Linked DNA regions of Lytechinus pictus. The protein of the gene in region 2 interacts with the protein of the main gene of each other region in a pairwise test. Links are inferred from orthologs where the notes say so. Each region holds a gene or a part of one and is shown on either strand. Other genes may lie near its edges.

Region 1 (9,585 bases), on a different chromosome or scaffold from region 2:
GTAAAGCGAGGATCTTTTATTCTTATTGCCAGATTATTCGTGACATAAATCTCCTTAACGGGGGGGGGGGGGGGGGGGGCGCGGTCAGGGGCGTGTTATTTTTTCTGTAAAAGAAAACCCCCCTTGGAAAATCCTGGATTTTCCCCTGATTAGACCCACAGTAAATTTCGTTATTCCGAATTTCTGTCTTTCTTCTTAAGCATTTTTGTTCAAATACTACATATAATAAATGTTCAGGAGTTATGTTCACCGTTGATACCCCATTATTTTTTTTCCCTTTTCTGGGGAAAAATAATTTTGAGTTTTTATCGATACGAAACAAAATTGCGAATTTGTCTTGATTGAAGCTATCATGACTTCCTTACCAGAATGCATTACGAGCAATGTTTCGTCGAAACCTGAGGTCAGTGGTCCAAACGGGTTGATAAGCCTCTGGTTTCGTGAGATCTTTTTTCTTTTTCGATTTGTCACTGTCAAACACCATAGACGTAATGGAGGCAGCTGGACGAGGTTCACGTAGAGAAATCGGTGACTTTTTATTCATTTTTTATATTATATTGATGACTTAGATGGCCTTTCCGTCAAAATAACAGTTTTAATTAACATACATGTATCAGTTACCGCATCAGTAGATCTACATCGATATTAGCTTTGAGGACCCCTTAATGATATTTTAAAATATTTTTACATACATACTTTTACACCATGAAGCCTTGAAGCCCTCCCCATTAGAAGCAGGACATGTAAACACGGATGGATTTCCCTAGGAAATCCATAATTAAATTTTAGAAATCACATAAATTTGTTGGATTTTATTTTTCTATACAACTTCATATGCTTAATGTGTATGAAGACCTGTACAAAAAAACTGTTAGTATTTATATGAAAAATGAGAGGTTTCTTACCAGACCGATCTCGTGTAGATCCCTCGATCCATTCGTAAACACCAGAAATACAATAGGCTTGACCCTTGAACCGCTTGGTTATGACGTAGCGTCGATAAGCGATGTTACAAAATGCTGTTTTGAAGAACAATTTGTAGATAAAAATTATTATTTAACAAATAATAACATTTGAAACTTGATTATAAATAATTATTATTATAATGGACAACTCTCCATTTGTTTTGTACACAAATTTTCAGATTTTCCCCATTATCTTTCAAATTGCCTCTTACCTCCTGATGTGATGAGCATAACATATGTCATGAGCAAATATAATTAACACCACGTATGTCAAGGTCAGGAGGAGACTATGTGAAATATGTCAAATAACGAGGAAAATCTCAAAATTTGTGTACAAAACTGATGGAGAGTTGTCCACAAAATCAGACATTATGAAGCCTGTTTGCCAATTTGAAGTTCCCCATAGAAAGTACAACAAGACTTTTCAAACTTCCATAACTCGCTTATTTTATAACCGATTTTGAAGAAACAAGTTTTAGTTTGCTAAGTCCTCTCATATCATTCTTTCTGACAAGATGGATTCTCCTTGTATTTTGGTTTCCTTTAGTTCATAAAGGGCAGGGCATTGCGCTGAATAACAGTTTGCAATGAATTGCTAAATGCCAATGACTGAATCATGAGCATCATTGCATCCACACTTTATTTTCAAAACAACTAATTTACAATTCACCACTGCTTGGTCTACAGGAGGGCTCAGCCTCGGTTTGGGCCTATAGATGTCTATCGATTAGTGACAGAAAAGCCTCAGTTCCAGGCTACATGTAGATAATCAGATCTGATAGTACAGGGTCTTGTTTCGTACTAGACTTGTTATAATAGCAAATGCACAATTTCTCTAATTGATTTACTTTCAGTTAAATAATATACAGATTTGCAATAACGATTAAAACTAAAAAGCTCCTGAAATCATCCAATCTGATTGGCTTTAAAGTAAACCTATTTGAGAAATAACAAGTCCTAATGAAAATGGGCACTTCAAAGAATTACTACATTGGAACCTTTATTATGATTGGCTGCAGATCCTTTGTAGACACGATAGATGCCATAATGACAAATTTTACTATGATTTTACTCAAGATTATGAATGCATAATGAAGCTGGCCCCTGGTCTGTAAATAAATCACAATTCAGTTTTTTCACACGCAGCACTTCTCTCTAATAGAAAGTATATGTACCTAGTTCATGAAACTTGGCCATAAGGTTAATCAAGTATCACTGAACATCCTGTGCGCATTTCAGGTCACATGACCAAGGTCAAAGGTCAATGAATTTTTGCCATAATGGGAGTATCTGTTGAATTACCATCATAACTTTGAAAGTTTATTGATCTGATTCATGAAACTTGGACATCACATAAGAGTAATCAAGTATCTTTGAACATCCCAAGTTTCAGGTCACATGACCAAGATGTCCAAAAACTATTGCCTTAATACTAGCTTCTCTAATTTTTAGGTAAAGGAGAAAATTAATTAATACGATTGTTGAATTCAATTGAATGAACGTGCAAGATTGCAACATCTGCGCGCAAAGGGTTAAGATTTGGCTTCTTTTCTTTTCTCTCTTTTTTTGTATTAAATCCTTGTAATTTGATCATCGTTTGTGCTTGTAGAGTATCTATGTGGTACATGTTGATAAAATACCTGTGTCTCATTTACTTTTGATAAATCTACATGTGTTATATATAAGTAGAATTGTAAGAGCAATTACATTCATTTATTTAGTTATTTTTTCTTTATGGATATTCATAGCATAGAATGATTAAGAACATTCCAGAATGTCTCAGTAAAGCTTTGTTACACGTGAGGAATTTTGTTATTTCTGAATAGAGACTGCAACACAATAGGATTGGTGGTAGTGAAAAGAACAATGCTGTTTACATCTTGTTAATTTCACTGAGGTCATTCAAGAGGCTTCTAAAATTAGACTGCTCTAGAAATTGGCAGAATGTTCTTTTTGTAGACAATACTAGAAGCTTCCAGAACAGGAAATAATTTATAATATAAGCTGGCAGTTTCGTCAAGGACATCACATCACATCAGAACTCAGAGTTTCACACCAGACTTTATGTCAGAGCAGAGTTTATTTCCACCTGGAATATTTATCTTCTGTGGAATTTTCCACGCCATCAATGAACTGTTTGCAGTTACTTTGAGAGAGGAATTCTCAGTTCTCATCGAGATCATCAACCTGTTTTAATGAACGCTTTTCAACCCATGGATTGCTGAAATTTAATCATCATCAACATCGTCTTCACAGACATTTCAACTCGTTCAGTGACTCTTGTTATTCATCGTGCTTAACATAAATTTCATCATCGCCATCATTGTGAACTTTAATTTAAGGAATCTTCGCCAGCCAACTTGGATTTATTTGGATATACTATCATAACCTTCAGCAAGGAATTCTTCCACAGTGTGCTGCACTCGACCCAGGTGAGGTAAATGGGTACCGGCAGGAAGTAATTCCTCAAAAAGCTGTGTGCACCGAATAGGTAGCCTAGCTTAGCCGGGTAATAATAGCAGGGCCCGCTGGGAGAACAGTTTTCGGAACTGAAGTGGCTACCCTGGGTAAATATACCTTTATTATTATTATTATTATAACCTTGGATTGCACATGTGACACTTCAATAGACGTAAGATCAATATTTATTTATGTTTTGTTAGTTTATGATTGTTATATTTCCTGTATTAAAAATAAAAAAAGGGAATCAAATTTAAAACTAAATTTTTATTGTTATTTGTTGCAGTATCATAACACATGTAATGATTAATACAATTGAAGTTTAATATACAGTTTGAATTCATTGAAAATTTAAATATTTTTTTTAATTTGCTATATCATAATATTCCACATCCAAATAGATGTTATCAACATTTGTACAAAAGCTGCATGAGAGATAGACGAGAACAATGTATCTAAAGTGGAGGATTTACTAAGGTCACATCAGCTTTAAACAAATCAGAAATCGGGCTATATTATATACAATGCAAAATAAATTGTAAATTAATGAAGGTAATTATTCAGAGCAGAAAAATTACCCCCAAATCATGAAAATTTATAAAATGGTGAAGTTTTCCTTTAATAATGGAACTTTTTGGAAGCATCACTCAGCTGTGGAACTCACATCCGCCAAACATTTTTCTTTAAGCTCCCAACATGGACAGATTGATTTTTTTTTGGTAATTCACATTTAATTGAAGTTTGTTGTAAGAAGTTTCTTATGTTATTTTATGTTCAATGTATGATGCAGACATAGTTTAATAAAAAAAATAAAAACTTGAAATTCTAATAATAATAATTTTGATAATAATATTGCATTTATAGATCGCTTAATATCAAGATCTCCATGCGCTTTACATTATTTAGAAGAATTTATATAGATATACAATTATTTTCACATTCTACATTATTATGTTAACATTGAATATACATTACATGACATCAGTACAAGGTATAATACTATTGACTACATTATTAAACTATATCAAATACAACAGTGAGAATACTATAGATAGGTCTTGATAGATTAATACATGTACATGTACATGTAAAAACATTCTTAATCTTTGATGGCTTTTCCTCAAACCTTTGCCAATATTTTTTTATATTTTCTTCTGCTAGTAGTATACTATTATAACAAGTTTTTGTTAGGTGAACTTCCATTTTAAGTATTTTTTTTTTAATTCCATGATAACGGTTTATTTTGGAAACATTTTATCATGTAATATTGATATGCCCTCCCCCCCCCAAAAAAAAAAAAAATAGGAATGCATACCCACTAATAAAAACTGAATCTGAAGAAAATAATTATGGGGGAAAAAAGCAATTGGGAAATAATTGTGATGAGCCAAATGTTATACTGACTAATGTGTGATTATTAGGTTGTGTATCCTTACATTTGATTGTCTCAAATGTTTCTACTTTTGATTATTTTAAAGATATTGAAGGTGATTCATCAGTTGAATCAGAGATGGGGTTATGGGGGGTTGTCATGTTCCCCACTCCCATGGAGTAATCATGTAGATCATCCAAACCAGCTCATCATATTCATCTTGCTACCTCCTTAGAGGTAACAGGAAAGGATTAATCCTAACTGATGATACTGTATTTAAAGTTGGATTCTGGTATGTACAATTCATGAGTACCTTCCTGGTACAGTTAGTAATTATTTATCCAGTCAAATATTTGTCTGCCTTCATGATTATTTTTTACTTTTAGGAGCTTGATTGAAAAGAATGTAGTTTACTTCAAGTAATCTGTGAATGATTTGACTATATATTGATTCGGGGTGTATTTTTTTTTGAAAAACAGGTAAAATTTGTAAGTTTGTCCATACCCCTTCATGCCCTGATGAATATTCATTCCAGCAAATTGAATATGCATGAGTTTTTATTGTAGACTTTGATTTCAGTCAATTTGTCAATAAGTTATGTTCCTAGTTCTTTCAGTTAAATTTAATAATCTGCTTTATGTCATGAAGTCCACTCTTACATGTATATTTATTTGCATTCACATTTGTACAAGTATTAATTAATGAGTTAATCCCCGCAAGCATACACATGACAAATTCTGTCAGCCAAGGTTGTTATTTAAAAAGTGTGCATGGGGAGACTATTCTTTGCCTTGTGGATTGACATGTGCTTTTTGTGTGTACAATGTACATTGCATATCGCATGCTGCCCCCTGCACATAACAATACAATGCACATAGCATGGAGCTATAGCTCTATGCACAGAGCATGTGTTTGTGTATAGTGTGTGTTCCCTGTGCAATTTACATGTAGCTGTAATGTGTGTATTCTAGTGAACAGCTGCAGGGGTACCCTGCATAAATTTACTACGAACCATGAGCCAGTAGGTCCATGATCAGCTGTACAAAATATATTGCATACTATACTGCATTCAGCTCAATTCATTTTCCTGAATGTAGTAGCTGCATGATTGCTTGTCATTGGGTGTAATACTCTGTTATAATTCCATATGGAACCCCCTGAAGAAATACCCGTTGAAATTAATGTTAATGCGAAAGATTGCTCAAATTGGGAAGAGTTAAAAGCTCAGGCCAGTCTAGGAGAAGAGGTAAGAATTTAATTGTCAAATTAAAATTTTACAAATTTGTGATAAAATATAGGCCTACATGTTTTTACAATTAATTACAGTGTAGTTATGATTTGATATCATATTTTTTTGGTATAAATGTATGTACAGTGTATTTCTTAATCTGTTTGTTGCAGTTGTACAGTATACATATACGGTACATCATGACTTCAACATCGTCAGGTATATATTTTAAGTTATTTTTTATTTTCTTAGATTAGAATTATGAATATGGAAATATAATTTTATATCTTTCCTGTCAATTGTGCACCTGATGGGGGGGGGGGGGAGAAGGGGTGCACTCAACTATGTTGCTGTAAACACGCTCAACCATGTTCTTTTTTTCGATCATTACGCTTAATTCTTGTGTGACACTTTGAGGATCTACATAGTACATGTAAGGATGTCAGAAAATGAATTTTTGTCAAGTAAAAATAAATGTTTTGGGGGTTATACTTGTTCGGGGGGTGGGGGCAAAATTGTCGAAGAAGCACACAAAAATACTTGAATAGGGTATGAATTTGACCACGGATAAAACTTGTGGGTTTGTACTTTGTAAAACTTGTACTGTATGTATGTAGTTGAGCCGTTCTGGAGACCCCCATTTTAATTTAAGACCAAGGTTTAGTTCCAGAGCCCCCTATTTTCGACTTTGTTACATCTAGGTATCATGTTATAATTCCAGTACATGTACCCCCTCCCCCCCCCCTCTGGTGCACTTGTGCATGGCAATGCAGTCTCCCCCCCCCCTCCCCGATTGCACACCACAAGGGCTTGCATACTCAAAAATCTATCTGTTTAGATGAACTTTTTTTCACTTATTTCTTTTTTTTTTTACAAGTACAGTGGAACAATCGAAAAATATAGAGACTGGTCAACCTGAAGCTTTTGGCTTTAAATAAATTGCCCCTGAACAAAGACACACACACACATTTCTATATTTCTTTTCTTTGCTTTTAAAAGTTAAGCTAACTGAATTCTTCTTTGTGAGTATTTCCTTTTTCATTTACATTTTCTTTTGAGAATAAAAATTCATATTGGACTCTCTTTTCTCATATGTTTTTCTCTATTTAAGAGCTGAAAAAAAAGCTAAAATTTAAATATTGGATTCATCCTTAAAATTAATTTCTTCATCTATGGAATTTGATTTCTACTTTTTTATTGTAATGTTTTGCGTGAATTCCACAAAGTTGTTCATGTCCATCTTGATCATTTCAATATAATGAAAAAAAATTGAAAATTCCTTTTGCTCTTTCACAAAAAAAATGTGCAAATAAACAATGTACATGTACATGAATGAGGATCCTCTTTAAAGGACAAGTCCACTCCAACAAAAAGTTGATTTGAATAAAAAGAGAAAAATCCAACAAACAACACTGAAAATTTCATCAAAATCGGGTGTAAAATAAGAAAGTTATGACATTTTAAAGTTTCGCCTAATTTCACAAAACAGTTATATGCACATCCTGGTCTGTATGCAAATGAGGAGACTGATGACGTCATCCACTCACTATTTCTCCTGTATTTTATTATATGAAATATTCTAATTTTTTCCTCATTGCCAAGTGAAACAACGATTAATTCCTCCCTGAACATGTGGAATTAACATTGTTTGATAATATATGGTTCAGTCAAGTTGATCCTTATTGTCAAATTTGTAAAAAATGAAATATTGTATAATTAAAACAATTAAAAAAAAAGAAATAGTGAGTGAGGGACATCATCGACTATCTCATCTGCATGTCACTCAGTTGTGTATATCACTGTTTTGTGAAAAATATTTGGAACTTTAAAATGTCATAACTTTCTTATTTTACATCCGATTTTGATGAAATTTTCAATGTTGTGCTAGTTTGATTTTTCTCTATTTATTCAAATCAACATTTTTCTGGGGTGGACTTGACCTTTAAAAAACAAAGCTTGTAAAAGCTAGGTTCCCACTGATGACGGAATTAGTAAGAGTAAATAATTCTTATTATTTCAATCACATTAAGATCAGGTAAGCATGCAGAGAGGTGATTAGCAACATGCCTTGCTGTCATTTATTTTCCTTAATAGCAAGTCATCATACAGACTCACAAAATGCTCCGAGTCACATTGCTCTCCGCATGAATCTTGACGATGATGCCGTAACGCCTAATTGCTGGGGATAAGGCTGGATTACTGGTAAAAGTTCAATTTGTGAATAATTTCTCTTTTTACATCATGATGGGGAAAATGTTATGTCATATCTTATGTTTGCAAGTCGCATAGTGCTTATGTTTTTATAATCATGCCAACAATGACATGATTAAGAAAACCTTGAAATTATTTTTCTGAAGCGTACATGATACAATCTGTTTGGGCTCAAAATAGTGAGATTAGATAATGCTGGATTACTGATAAGAGTTCAATTTTGTGAACCCCTCTTCTTACATCATGCAAGTGAAAATATTATGTCATATTCGTGTCCATGTTTTTTATAGTCTTCAATTGGATATATTTGGTAAAATCAACTCTTGTCAGCGATGGCATATATAACTGATGAATACTTTTTGTAGGTCATGCATATTTGTCTCCAAGTGTTGAGATGGAGAATGATATCTATGCATGGTTAAGGTAAATTTTGTGAAACCCTCTGTCGTTTCTCACGCTGTAGCTGAGAAAATGCTGTTGCACTTCGATTGTGTTTAAAAAAAGAAAATCTCTATACCGGTACATAGTAAAGCCTAATGACTATTAATTTAGCATTGATATCATAAGTAATGAGATAGGATATTAAAGGCTGGAATAGATCATCTTATATGAAACCCTACGGCCCGTATTCTGAAGTCTGGTTTAACTTAAACTCAGGTTTAAAGTTGTGGTTTTAGTATGGGAAGCCAAAAGTATCAATTTTTTAAATTAAGTTTTATGTTTCTTATGTTTACTGTGCTCTTTCCTGATTCATTGATGGTGAATACAATAATCTTTTTATACTTCCTAGACAATTATGAATGATTTTAGAGCCAACTAATAAAGCTGAATTATGATATCTGTACTGTTAGTGATTTATGTAACAATTGGCTCTCCATACTTAAACCACAACTTTAAACCTGAGTTTAAGTTAAACCCAACGTCAGAATACGGGCCTAGATGTTCATGCATATCAAGCACAAACAATTTTTTATGGAGATGTGGTCTCACTTCATGTATTTTCCAAACATCTATCACTTATCCCTGTCTGGTTTAGAAATAACTTTTATTATATTATTTTTTTTTATAATACAGAATGGGCCGGCAGGGGGGGTACCCATTTATGTTCATTTTTTAGAGATATCCTGTAATGTACATCTGTATGGCATGTAATATGATATGCATATTTGTAAAACTTGTTTAATTCTATTCTCTTTGTATATTTCTCCCGTGTACAGGGTGGCAAGGAGTACATACTTTCTCAAGACAACGAACTGCGATTTGAAGTCGAAAACAATGAAATCGTACAAATGGAGGTAACTAAATTCTTTGTACAATGTCATTATAGAAACAGCTCTTTTCCTATTCTT
Region 2 (9,846 bases):
TACTATAAAAAGTGAGCTACGTCCGTTTTTTTTTTCTGTAATACATGTGCGCGCGTGCTTCCGGTAGCGGTTTTTCCATACTCCACCATGTGCAATTTCTAATGCACACATTTCCAGTTGGGATATCACAATTCTGCGATATAGTAATTCGAATTGCACAGGAGATAAATCCCTGTTCACAGCACATACGATGTGTGAGTCTTTTATCCTCTCAGTCGCCGACTTTGCTTGTCAAAACGGAGCCTTAATAATCCAAAATCACTTTGCTTTATATAGTTGTGAATTATAGCTTTTTAATTTCTTTCTTGGAGAGGGGTAAATATCAGACAATAAATCATCAAACAAGGCTCCAAAAAAAAAAACAGGAGGACGCCGTGCATTTGAGTGTGGTGTTAGCTAGCCAGTTTGAGCTCATGTTCTCTGTCAGAGCTCTGGGTGAGAATTCTATCAGTAATGGCCTATAAAGTGATGGTGATTTTCCGTTTCAGATAGAGTTTAGATTTCATGTTAATTTTTTAAAACTGTCAAAAACTTTATTTCTTCATTGTGATGAATATTTAAGTTATTAATGAATACATTTTCACCGAATTTAGACTCTCCCAGAATGAAAGGCATTTTCTGTGGAGATCTGCGTTTTCAAATAACTTGTGAAAAACTTAAGGTACATGAACCAACAATACATGTACATAGCCTGTGGCTATGTGCTGGAATTTGAATAGACTGAGTTAGATATTGATTTCATTTCTTTAACATAATTCATATGCAATCCAAATGTACCTCAAACACACTTAAACATTTAAATCTGATTTCTTAAATGTTTGAATACCGGTAAGCCTAATACTTAGCATGCTATTCATGTACTAATTAAAAAATTGCAGGAGCTGCGCTTACTATAAACAAATTTGCAGTGTGGTTCACCGTTATATATATATTTTTTTAATTGCCCCCGGTTCCTGTAAAAAGCCTGTAAGCCGGGGGCAATTTTTTTTGAAAAATTGCCCCTGGTCTGCAGCTGCTTATTTCAAGGCTTGCACTAGACAGCTGGCAGCCGTCTGTTTCGAGGAGTTAAAAAAATACATACACAGACGGCTCGCTATCGTGCAGCCACCATTAGGGGATTTACAATGCAAAATCCCCCCGTCAGGGCTCTTCAATTTTCGTCTTTAATGAATCAAACATTTGAAAATTAACGCAACCGAAATGCAAATTAATATTCCCTCTTGGCATTAATTGCCAAAAAACGGGGAAAATCAAGTTAAAAGGAACAAAAACAGTGACTTACCTCGGCTGTCGCGCAACTTCACTGCCCTGTTTTATCCGAACTTAATACACATAAACATATGGCCATTGAGTCCCCTGTACAGATCGCGCTAGAACTTCGGTCTCTGTTTTGGTGAGTGAAGGAGTTCAGCTGAACGGAGTTCAGCTGAACCACCAACATAACAGAGACCGAAGCTTTTGGTCTAGGCTTGCACTTCCTGCTATTCAAAATTGGAGATAGATATATTGGAGGGCACCTGGGATAATATGGCACCTAGACAAGACCACTTACAATTGAAAAGTTATGGAGATCTCACCAAAAATTTAATAGAGTATCATTTCTAACCCTCCCTGAAATGAGATTTAAAATGATGAACACCAGTTAGTGGTTGTTGTGTGCCTTTTGTTATTAGAATTGCGCAGCTACATTCAGCAAAGTGCAAAGTTGGGGAACCACATATTGTACATGATAATAATAATAATAATAGATGGGAATTGTAATGCGCCTAATCCACTCTGCAGAGTGCTTAAGGTGCAGTAAAAAAATGGAAAGAGAGAGAAAACTTATATACATTGATATAAATTAAGGAACTGACAATTTAGAGTAGGATACTAGTATATTAATTAGAAGTGCCTTAAAGTTTAAATGTGTCCATGGAAGTGCATCCACGGATAACCAGGGGAAGATCATTCCAATTCAATTTATTTACATTCTTAAATAAAAAACATGAAAAAAATCCAGAGGACAAGGCCAGTGTGAGCAAATGCCTGAAATTTCCTTTGAGTGAATGTGTTTAGGTAGGGAGTTCGGGTGAAATGCCGCTTTCAGAATATGTATCTGTCTGTGCACCCATGTATAAAACAAGTATAAAGCCATTAAAGGAGGAAAAACCCTATAGAAACCTATACCATGAGAAACTTTGAAGTTTTATGAATAAAATGATGTATAATTCAAGGGCATAAATTGCCCCACATAGCAGCGCATTGCACTTTAAAAAGAAGGATTACACAGTCCCAGTCATTGCATTTTGTGTAAGTTATGAAAATCAACTTTTGCTGTAAAAAAATCTGCACATTCTCCCATTTAAACAGAAATATCTCTGTCAATATTTGACATCATGAGTTGATTTTAAGCACCATTCTTTTTATACCACAAGCTTTCAAATAGTACCAAATTTGTTGGGATTCCTTCAAAAGGCTTCAAGATTTCAAAAAGCCACTGTCTCCCCACTCAAACAAGCTTTTATCATTTTTTTTGACAGAACAAAGTCTGCATATTTTTCCCTGTAAATTGGAATATCTCCGTCAATATATCAGACAATGAGTAGATTGAAGCACCATTATTTTTCTTATTTCACAATTTTTCCAACGATATCAAATTTGTTGGGATTCCTTCAAGATTTTAAAAAATCACCGTACTCCCTACTAGTTTAGGTGATAATAGAGGACTTGTCTTAGGCCTATATTTTACTTTTAATCATACCAGTCAAGATCAACAGATAACGAACGTAGACCTCACTCATGTCACTCCCAAGTCCCAGCTCACAACACAAGCCATCCATTTCAGGCATCACACTCAAACAGCTCAACCTAAGTCTAAAAATGAGGGCCAGCCATGTCTCCAAGTTCAAAATAGAAACACTGCTCAAATAAGGTGTGAACACGAAAGACTTCCTTATGTCCCCTCCACTAATTTTTAAAAATACTTCTCCAAAACCCTCTTCTCTCATTCTCTTTTTCTTCTTTTTTTTCTTCTTACTTCCGGTTGGAACTTGGATTCGAACCTCTCGTTGCAGAACGATGAATCTCCAGTCTCTCGCCTTACTCACTGAGCTAGCCACAGAAATTGTTGAAAGCAAACGGTTTCAACCGATATTACGACTAGTCTACTCTCCAAGAGTATTGGGCATTTATTTTTCTGACTAAATATACCAATGATATCGGGAATTACACACACTCGAATTTTTGACGGAATAAAGCCATATTTTGGTATGTATCCAACTTTTCCTTCTTAAAGGCCAAGTCCACCCCAGAAAATATTTGATTTGATTCGATAGAGAAAAATCAAACAAACATAACGCTGCAAGTTTCATCGAAATCGGATGTAAAATATGAAAATTATGACATTTTTAAGTTACGCTTATTTTTCACAAAACAGTTCAATGCACAACTCAGCGATATGCAAATGAGAAAGTCGATGATGTCCATCACTCACTATTTCTTTTGTTTTTTATTGTTTGAATAATACAATATTTCAATTTTTACAGATTTGCCAATAAGGACCAACTTAACTTAACCATAAACTGTTAAAATAATGGTAATTCCACATGTTCAGTGAGAAATAAAACTTTGTTTCACTTGACGAGAAGAAAATTAGAATATTTCATATTTCATATAATAAAATAGAAAAGAAATAGTGGGTGACGTCATTAGTCTGCCAATGTGCATACCGACCAGGATGTGCATATAACTGTTTTGTGAAATTAAGCGAAACTTAGAAATGTCATAACTTTCTTATTTTACATCCGATTTTGATGAAATTTTCAGTGTTTTGCTTGTTGGATTTTTCTCCTTTTTTTCAAATCAACTTTTTGTTGGGGTGGACTTGTCCTTTAAATCTCTTAGTCAGATATATGTTGTTAGATAATTCTTGATAAACCTTCTCCATATTTTTTTTTTCAATTTTAGTGGAGGGGACATATGGACATGATGGAAGTCTTGCCAATTACACAAGCTATCAAGTATAAATAATCAAGGAATCGTGATTTCCCCCATAATTTGTGTGCTTAAGAAATTCCACATGCTGACATGGTAATGGTCGTTTTTGTGTAGAGCCTGGGCGCTGGCATACACACGACACTCAGTCGATAGTGAGCTCCATTTGAGAATTCTCTAACTTTGTTACATATCTACGACTACGAGTACGACTACGCAATATAACGCACAAAAATCCTGCTTTTGGGATAGATCAAGAAAAGGGTATAATATACGCATTTTCGAAACATAAAGTAAACTTACCATAAATCATGTGAATTGTGGACTTTTTAAATAATTTTTTTGGCCAGGCGTACCGTACCGGTCCTCCGTATTGTTTTGAAGTTGAATCATTCACGATACGCGGCCGTACCGTACCCTCGCGCTCTCTTGATTTAAGGCCCGGGCGCCGGCTGCACTCGCCTAGCTTCGGCCGGCGGGAGCGCCGCTCACATCGCCTTTTACTCGGCAGATAATGCAGATATATGCAGATCGGCGTCACTGGTCGTCGTCACACGGCAGTACACGTGCATTTGGACCTTGTATAGTATACAACAACGAACGTAGAGGGCAGCAACACACATGCGTGTTGCTCTAAGGAAGGTCAACTCCGCTCGAATTTTGTGACCACTTTAAAAAATAAGGTGGGGTTTTGGGAAATTTGTCGAGTTGATTTTTTTTCATTTGTTAATTTCAAATATTTTTTAATGAACAATTATTAGATCGGTCATTCTGGGTATAAATATTAAAAATATTACTTTTATTTTTAAAGAAAATATCTAGCTTAAATAATCATGATTTTGACATTTTTCCTCATTTTGGAATATTAAGCCTGTGACGAGGATACCTCATATCTCTTATTTTCTTCTGCTGAATTTCGCTGCACCACTAATAAATGCTTAGACAACCACCGTAATAATCGAGGTCATTTTTCTGGCCTGGGTGCGCCGAGTCTGGCCCGGTCGCGCAGCTAGCTAGTGACGTTGATGATGCGCTGGGGCTTCAGGCGACTCGTCATAGATCTAGCAACTTAGACAATGACGTCTAATTTGCCTGGCCTGATTTGAAGTGTAATGGCTTCAGGGCTGATGTTTATCAACGATGATTGTTCAAGGTTAGATTTCAAATTTTAAATGTCATTTGACTTTTAAGTCTATAAATCTGAAATAAAGGCGCTGTATCCCCGAAATCCGGGTCTAAATTTCAACTCTGAGTCCGAGACCATGGCATGGACGGCGAAAAAACAACCCATGCATCGGATGCATTGCATTGGCTGCGCGCTGCGCTGCAGCTGCACTGTGATGATGGGTTCAGCGAAGAGCTCAGAGAAAATAAGGTGGTTATATTCAATCCCGAAATGCTTTGCGAGTGGTCACAAAATCGTCTCGACGCAAATCACCTAATACAGCCGTCTGGTGAAATCGCTGATAACAACAATCACCGATTTGGTAATGATTTTAGTTTCCTGAAACTTATATTTGTAAAGTTTTAAATATCAAAGTATGTTTTTATATGTATGTATATTCCTCAACATATTTTTAAAGTTATCTTTGATATTGTTGTAGTCATATTCTTTCATATTCGTTTTTTTATCGCTACTAATTTGTTGTTGTATTGGATCGGCATTTGATTTCGTTGGCATGAACAATAAAATACGCGCGCAGCTCAGCTGCATGCGCGTATCGAGTTGACCTTCCTTATAGCAACACGCTTGTGTGTTGCTGCCCTCTACGTTCGTTGGTATACAAGTACATAAACACGAACAAAGGAAGCTACCAATGTCTCTCTATTCTATTACGCAATAATTGGGGCGGTTGGGGGAGGGGCATTATGCTAGGAAACCGATATGTTCAAATGCTAACTTTTCATAGATATCGTTTATAGGGTCGGTATTCATGATGCAAGAGAATGTCGCTAAATTAGAGAAAAAGGTTGTTAGAAAAGAAAAGAGGTCAAGAGACTGGCCGGTCACTTTGTAAAAAGATGTAGGCCTACTGGGTCTATTTGACAAAAACGGTCATCCTAGTTTTAGAGAATTTTTTTTTCCTCCCAATACTAGAAAAAATATATACATATATTTTTTATATAAACAAGAAGGCACAATGATCTATAGATTTATAAAGATGAAATACATGTAACTGGTTGTTTCTATGTCAGGGGGGTATTTTCCAGAACCTCGACAGCATTGATAAGGGTCTCAGTTTATATGAAATGTTATAAGGGTCATTCTACTCATAATGATATGAAAGGGTGATTTTTCATTATGTATAAAATGGTGGTTCCTAAAACGAAAGAGTGCCGCTTATAATGGAAGGTCGCTTTTCACTCACTAGCAACCCCTTAGCTTGTTACAGAGCTCAAAAGTTGAATTCACCCCCCCCCCCAAAAAAAAAAAAAAAAAAAAATCGTTATTTTGTTATCAGATTTTAATGAAGTTCAGTTCGGTGAATTTTACCTGTATGAAATTATATAGTTAGAAAGAATACGTTCCAAGTTGGAGCAGTGGCTATAGGTATTCAAGAAAAAGTCTTACATCTCAAAGTTTCCTTGTGCGCCCGCTTAATTGGTCTTTTAATATGTTCTTCATTCGCAAATATAACTACAGTAACCTCCGCTCTATATTTATGCAATTTTAAGCCCTTTTGAGAATATGCGCTATACGTAGTTATCAATTTATTTATTTTGTGATGAAAGAGGTGCGATTCAACATAGAACTCAAATGTACAAAACATAAAAAAATAAAAGAGAAAGTCAAAGCTAGGACGCCACATTTCTGACTTTCCCATCCAATATGTTTTAGACACGTAAAGGTGGACATCATTCCACAACCCTCATCATCCCTTGACGCGAGACCCCCCCCCCCTCAAAAGTGCACAATGTTATATTGTCTTTAAAAAAAAATCCCATTTACAGATATGGATGGGGCTCGGTAGACCCCCTTCTGAATCTGCCACGGGTGACGAGGCGAGGAGGGGGGCCTGCCCTCTCTTCCTCAAACAATTTCAATATTTTGTGAAATGATTTGCGACAACACGAATCATGCGCTGGGTCAAGTGAATAGAGATGGATTTATTTTTGTCAGTGTCGTATTTTACATAACTTAAGTGAGAATGTTTTCTCCACTCCCCCATAAACATAAACACACCGCGTTCTAAATTTGTCAGAAATGAAATTGACAATTTCTGGAGTGATTTTTATTTTGTTGCTTGTAATCTCACCTGGAGATAGTTTTTATTATTATCGTGCTTTTTTTTTGGGGGGGGGGGTTGTCAGCAATTTTATTACAATCCCCCTTACCCAGCCTCTGGAATTTGGGCCTATAGCTTGCTTCACATTTGATGAAAGAAAATGATCGATAATGCACCGAGGTTAACAGAATGCAAGTTTTTAGTCCTCTTGAAATTATTTGGTAATTAATAGTTGGCGTTCCTCCTCTTTTGGAATTGAAAAAAGAAATAAGCCCCCTTTTTTGGGGGGGGGGGGGTGAAACCCTTTTTTCTTGACAGATTGTGAGAGAAATTGTGACGGTGAGATAATCTTTCGCTATTTTTCTAGTGACAAATAATAACGAAATTATTAATTTCATGTGCCCATGTAATACACCTTACTATAGTTGTGAATTGCTTCCCTTCCCCCCCCCCCCCTTTTTTTGTCCAAAATTACCGGGGGAAGTCTTGTCTGTTCTCTTTAATATTAGTAATGTCGTATGATTCAGATGCCCTGTGTATACTGTTTATAATAATAATATGTAGACACCATGTAAAAAAGACTAGTCATCATATTTTATCTTTTTTTAACATCTATATATCCTTTTAATATCATAACATGAAAATGGCTAAAATACAATTGAATACATAAAATAATATCAGTCCAAAGACAGGAAAGAAAGTAACTGATAAAAATATTCACATGTCTTGATAAGATTTATCCTAATGAAAGTAAAATTTTCACCATAAACTAGCTATGAATTTGTAGGCATGCTATGATATCATGATAGTTGTTATGCCGAATGAAAAAGCCGGGTGAAAGCCTTCTGACATTCATAAATATTGTCTCGCATTTCGTATTAAAAAAGAAATAATTTTGCAACACAGCTGAAATTGTTATCAGTTGTATATCACTCTACATGACGAGTTTTTAGAGATCTAATATAAGTAAAGCTGTGAAAAAGAAAACATTTTGGATCATGAAGGTATACTCCCTAAGGAATGCACCGGAACCACTGAATATCTGAAATACTAGTAGAATGACAGATACCAAACAATAGATGGCGCACTGACTTGCAGCTCTGGTGCTTTCAATCAGCTGGGATGTTTCACAGGGAATTATTCTTGTACCCCGTCTTAAATGGTTGCATGGAGAAAGCGTCACATACATGATATGGGCAAAGTAATTACGAGCAAAAAATAATTACATTAATCTACGAGTTAATCTACGAGTATTTTCAAGAATTCCGTAATTCAGCTGGATGAATACAAAAATGTAATTTCTTCGAATTCTAAAATTACTGGCAAGTTATTCTTGAAGATATCGTGATTATCGGACGCAGTGTGCGAGTGATTGAGCTAATAAAATGAATATTGCACTTGACTTTGGAGCATCTAAATTTGAATTGTACGATGCTTCCGATGGTTGATGCCAAATAGTGGCGAGTAAAACGTACCGTATTTAATAGTTTATATGGAAATTGAGTTATACTCAGCAATATATGTTTATGGCACATAAAGACAATTCGGGGCAATGTGGTTTCAGAAACTATACATATTGGTCGTTGAACACATGACAAGTCCTCTTACTGACTTTTATTCATTTGTATTTGTATATAAAAATCTCAACAATATCAACAACTTTGTACAGTAAGATAGATAACACAAATTAACACAAGCATTACGAAGGAATAAAACCACACGCCCTAACACAGTTATAAATACAAAATGTAGAACTTACAGGATATAGGAAACTACATAGAAAACATCTAAGGCACATTATAAGAATAAATATTTGTAATTTTATTGCGACGGTAAAAATCAATAAACATATACAATTAATTAAAGAAGGCGTTGGAATATACAAAAAATAGCATCTATAACCACACCTATGTCCTCCATCAAATAGATAAATAAGTGACCATGAGATATGTCACGTAGGCCCTAGAAGCTCTGGTGTGATCCTCTACTTTCCTATGTGGTGTGGGATGTACTGATGGAAGGACGCTCACAGAAGCCCAGATGAACAACATCTCTGTCTTGCAGAATCAAGTGGTAAGAGCATGGAGCTACTTAGTAGCTCCATGGTAAGAGCGTTTGTCTTCATGAACTGCAGTCTAGATCTGCAAGGTGTTCTAGGAGTGCTCTGCTATGTGGTGTGGGATGGAGGTAGGGTAGTCACACGAGCCCGGATGAACAACGTCCCTGCATTGCAGAATCGACCATTGATAAGAGTGTCCGTCTTCATGAACTGCAGCCTACCACGACGTTGCATGGTGCTCTGGACCTCATGAGGGCGTGGCATCTTATGGCAAGTGATGTTGGTGTTGAGGTGATTCTCACAGTCCACCTGGTCAAAGAGCATCAGGGTACAAACGGCACTGAACGGGAAGTACAGGTTCATGTCGTTCTCTCCTTTGCATAACATGATAAAGATGGACGTGTAGGAATCTGAGCGTGTCACATGACCCCTCAATTCAAGGCAGAGGCGGAGCTTGTATCCAGCGGGGGAAGTGTAGAAAGGTGGACTCAGAAGTGGTGCACTAAAGTCACGTGAGCATATTTGGATTTTCCAGTTGAGTTGGCCCGTGTAATTGGTATTCTTCATAATTGACAGGTCGCCCTT

The links.
Region 1: the proteins of uncharacterized protein LOC129269308 (region 2) and polyribonucleotide 5'-hydroxyl-kinase Clp1-like interact in binary tests that used the Homo sapiens proteins (3 or more experiments, as listed by UniProt). The link is inferred for Lytechinus pictus from reciprocal best matches to the Homo sapiens genes TSEN54 and CLP1.

The regions. Positions count from the first base shown.
Region 1 is NC_087257.1:17,662,684-17,672,268, forward strand, and holds the start of polyribonucleotide 5'-hydroxyl-kinase Clp1-like, read left to right. Parts: upstream 1-5,684; 5' UTR 5,685-5,944; coding exon 5,945-6,043; intron 6,044-8,117; exon of another isoform or gene 8,118-8,227; intron 8,228-9,453; coding exon 9,454-9,531; intron 9,532-9,585. UniProt on the Homo sapiens protein: Polynucleotide kinase that can phosphorylate the 5'-hydroxyl groups of double-stranded RNA (dsRNA), single-stranded RNA (ssRNA), double-stranded DNA (dsDNA) and double-stranded DNA:RNA hybrids. dsRNA is phosphorylated more efficiently than dsDNA, and the RNA component of a DNA:RNA hybrid is phosphorylated more efficiently than the DNA component.
Region 2 is NC_087254.1:22,850,314-22,860,159, forward strand, and holds the start of uncharacterized protein LOC129269308, read right to left. Parts: upstream 4,561-9,846; 5' UTR 4,279-4,560; intron 2,683-4,278; exon of another isoform or gene 1,518-2,682; intron 1-1,517. Other genes in the region: TNF receptor-associated factor 6-like, read right to left, coding at 9,370-9,846.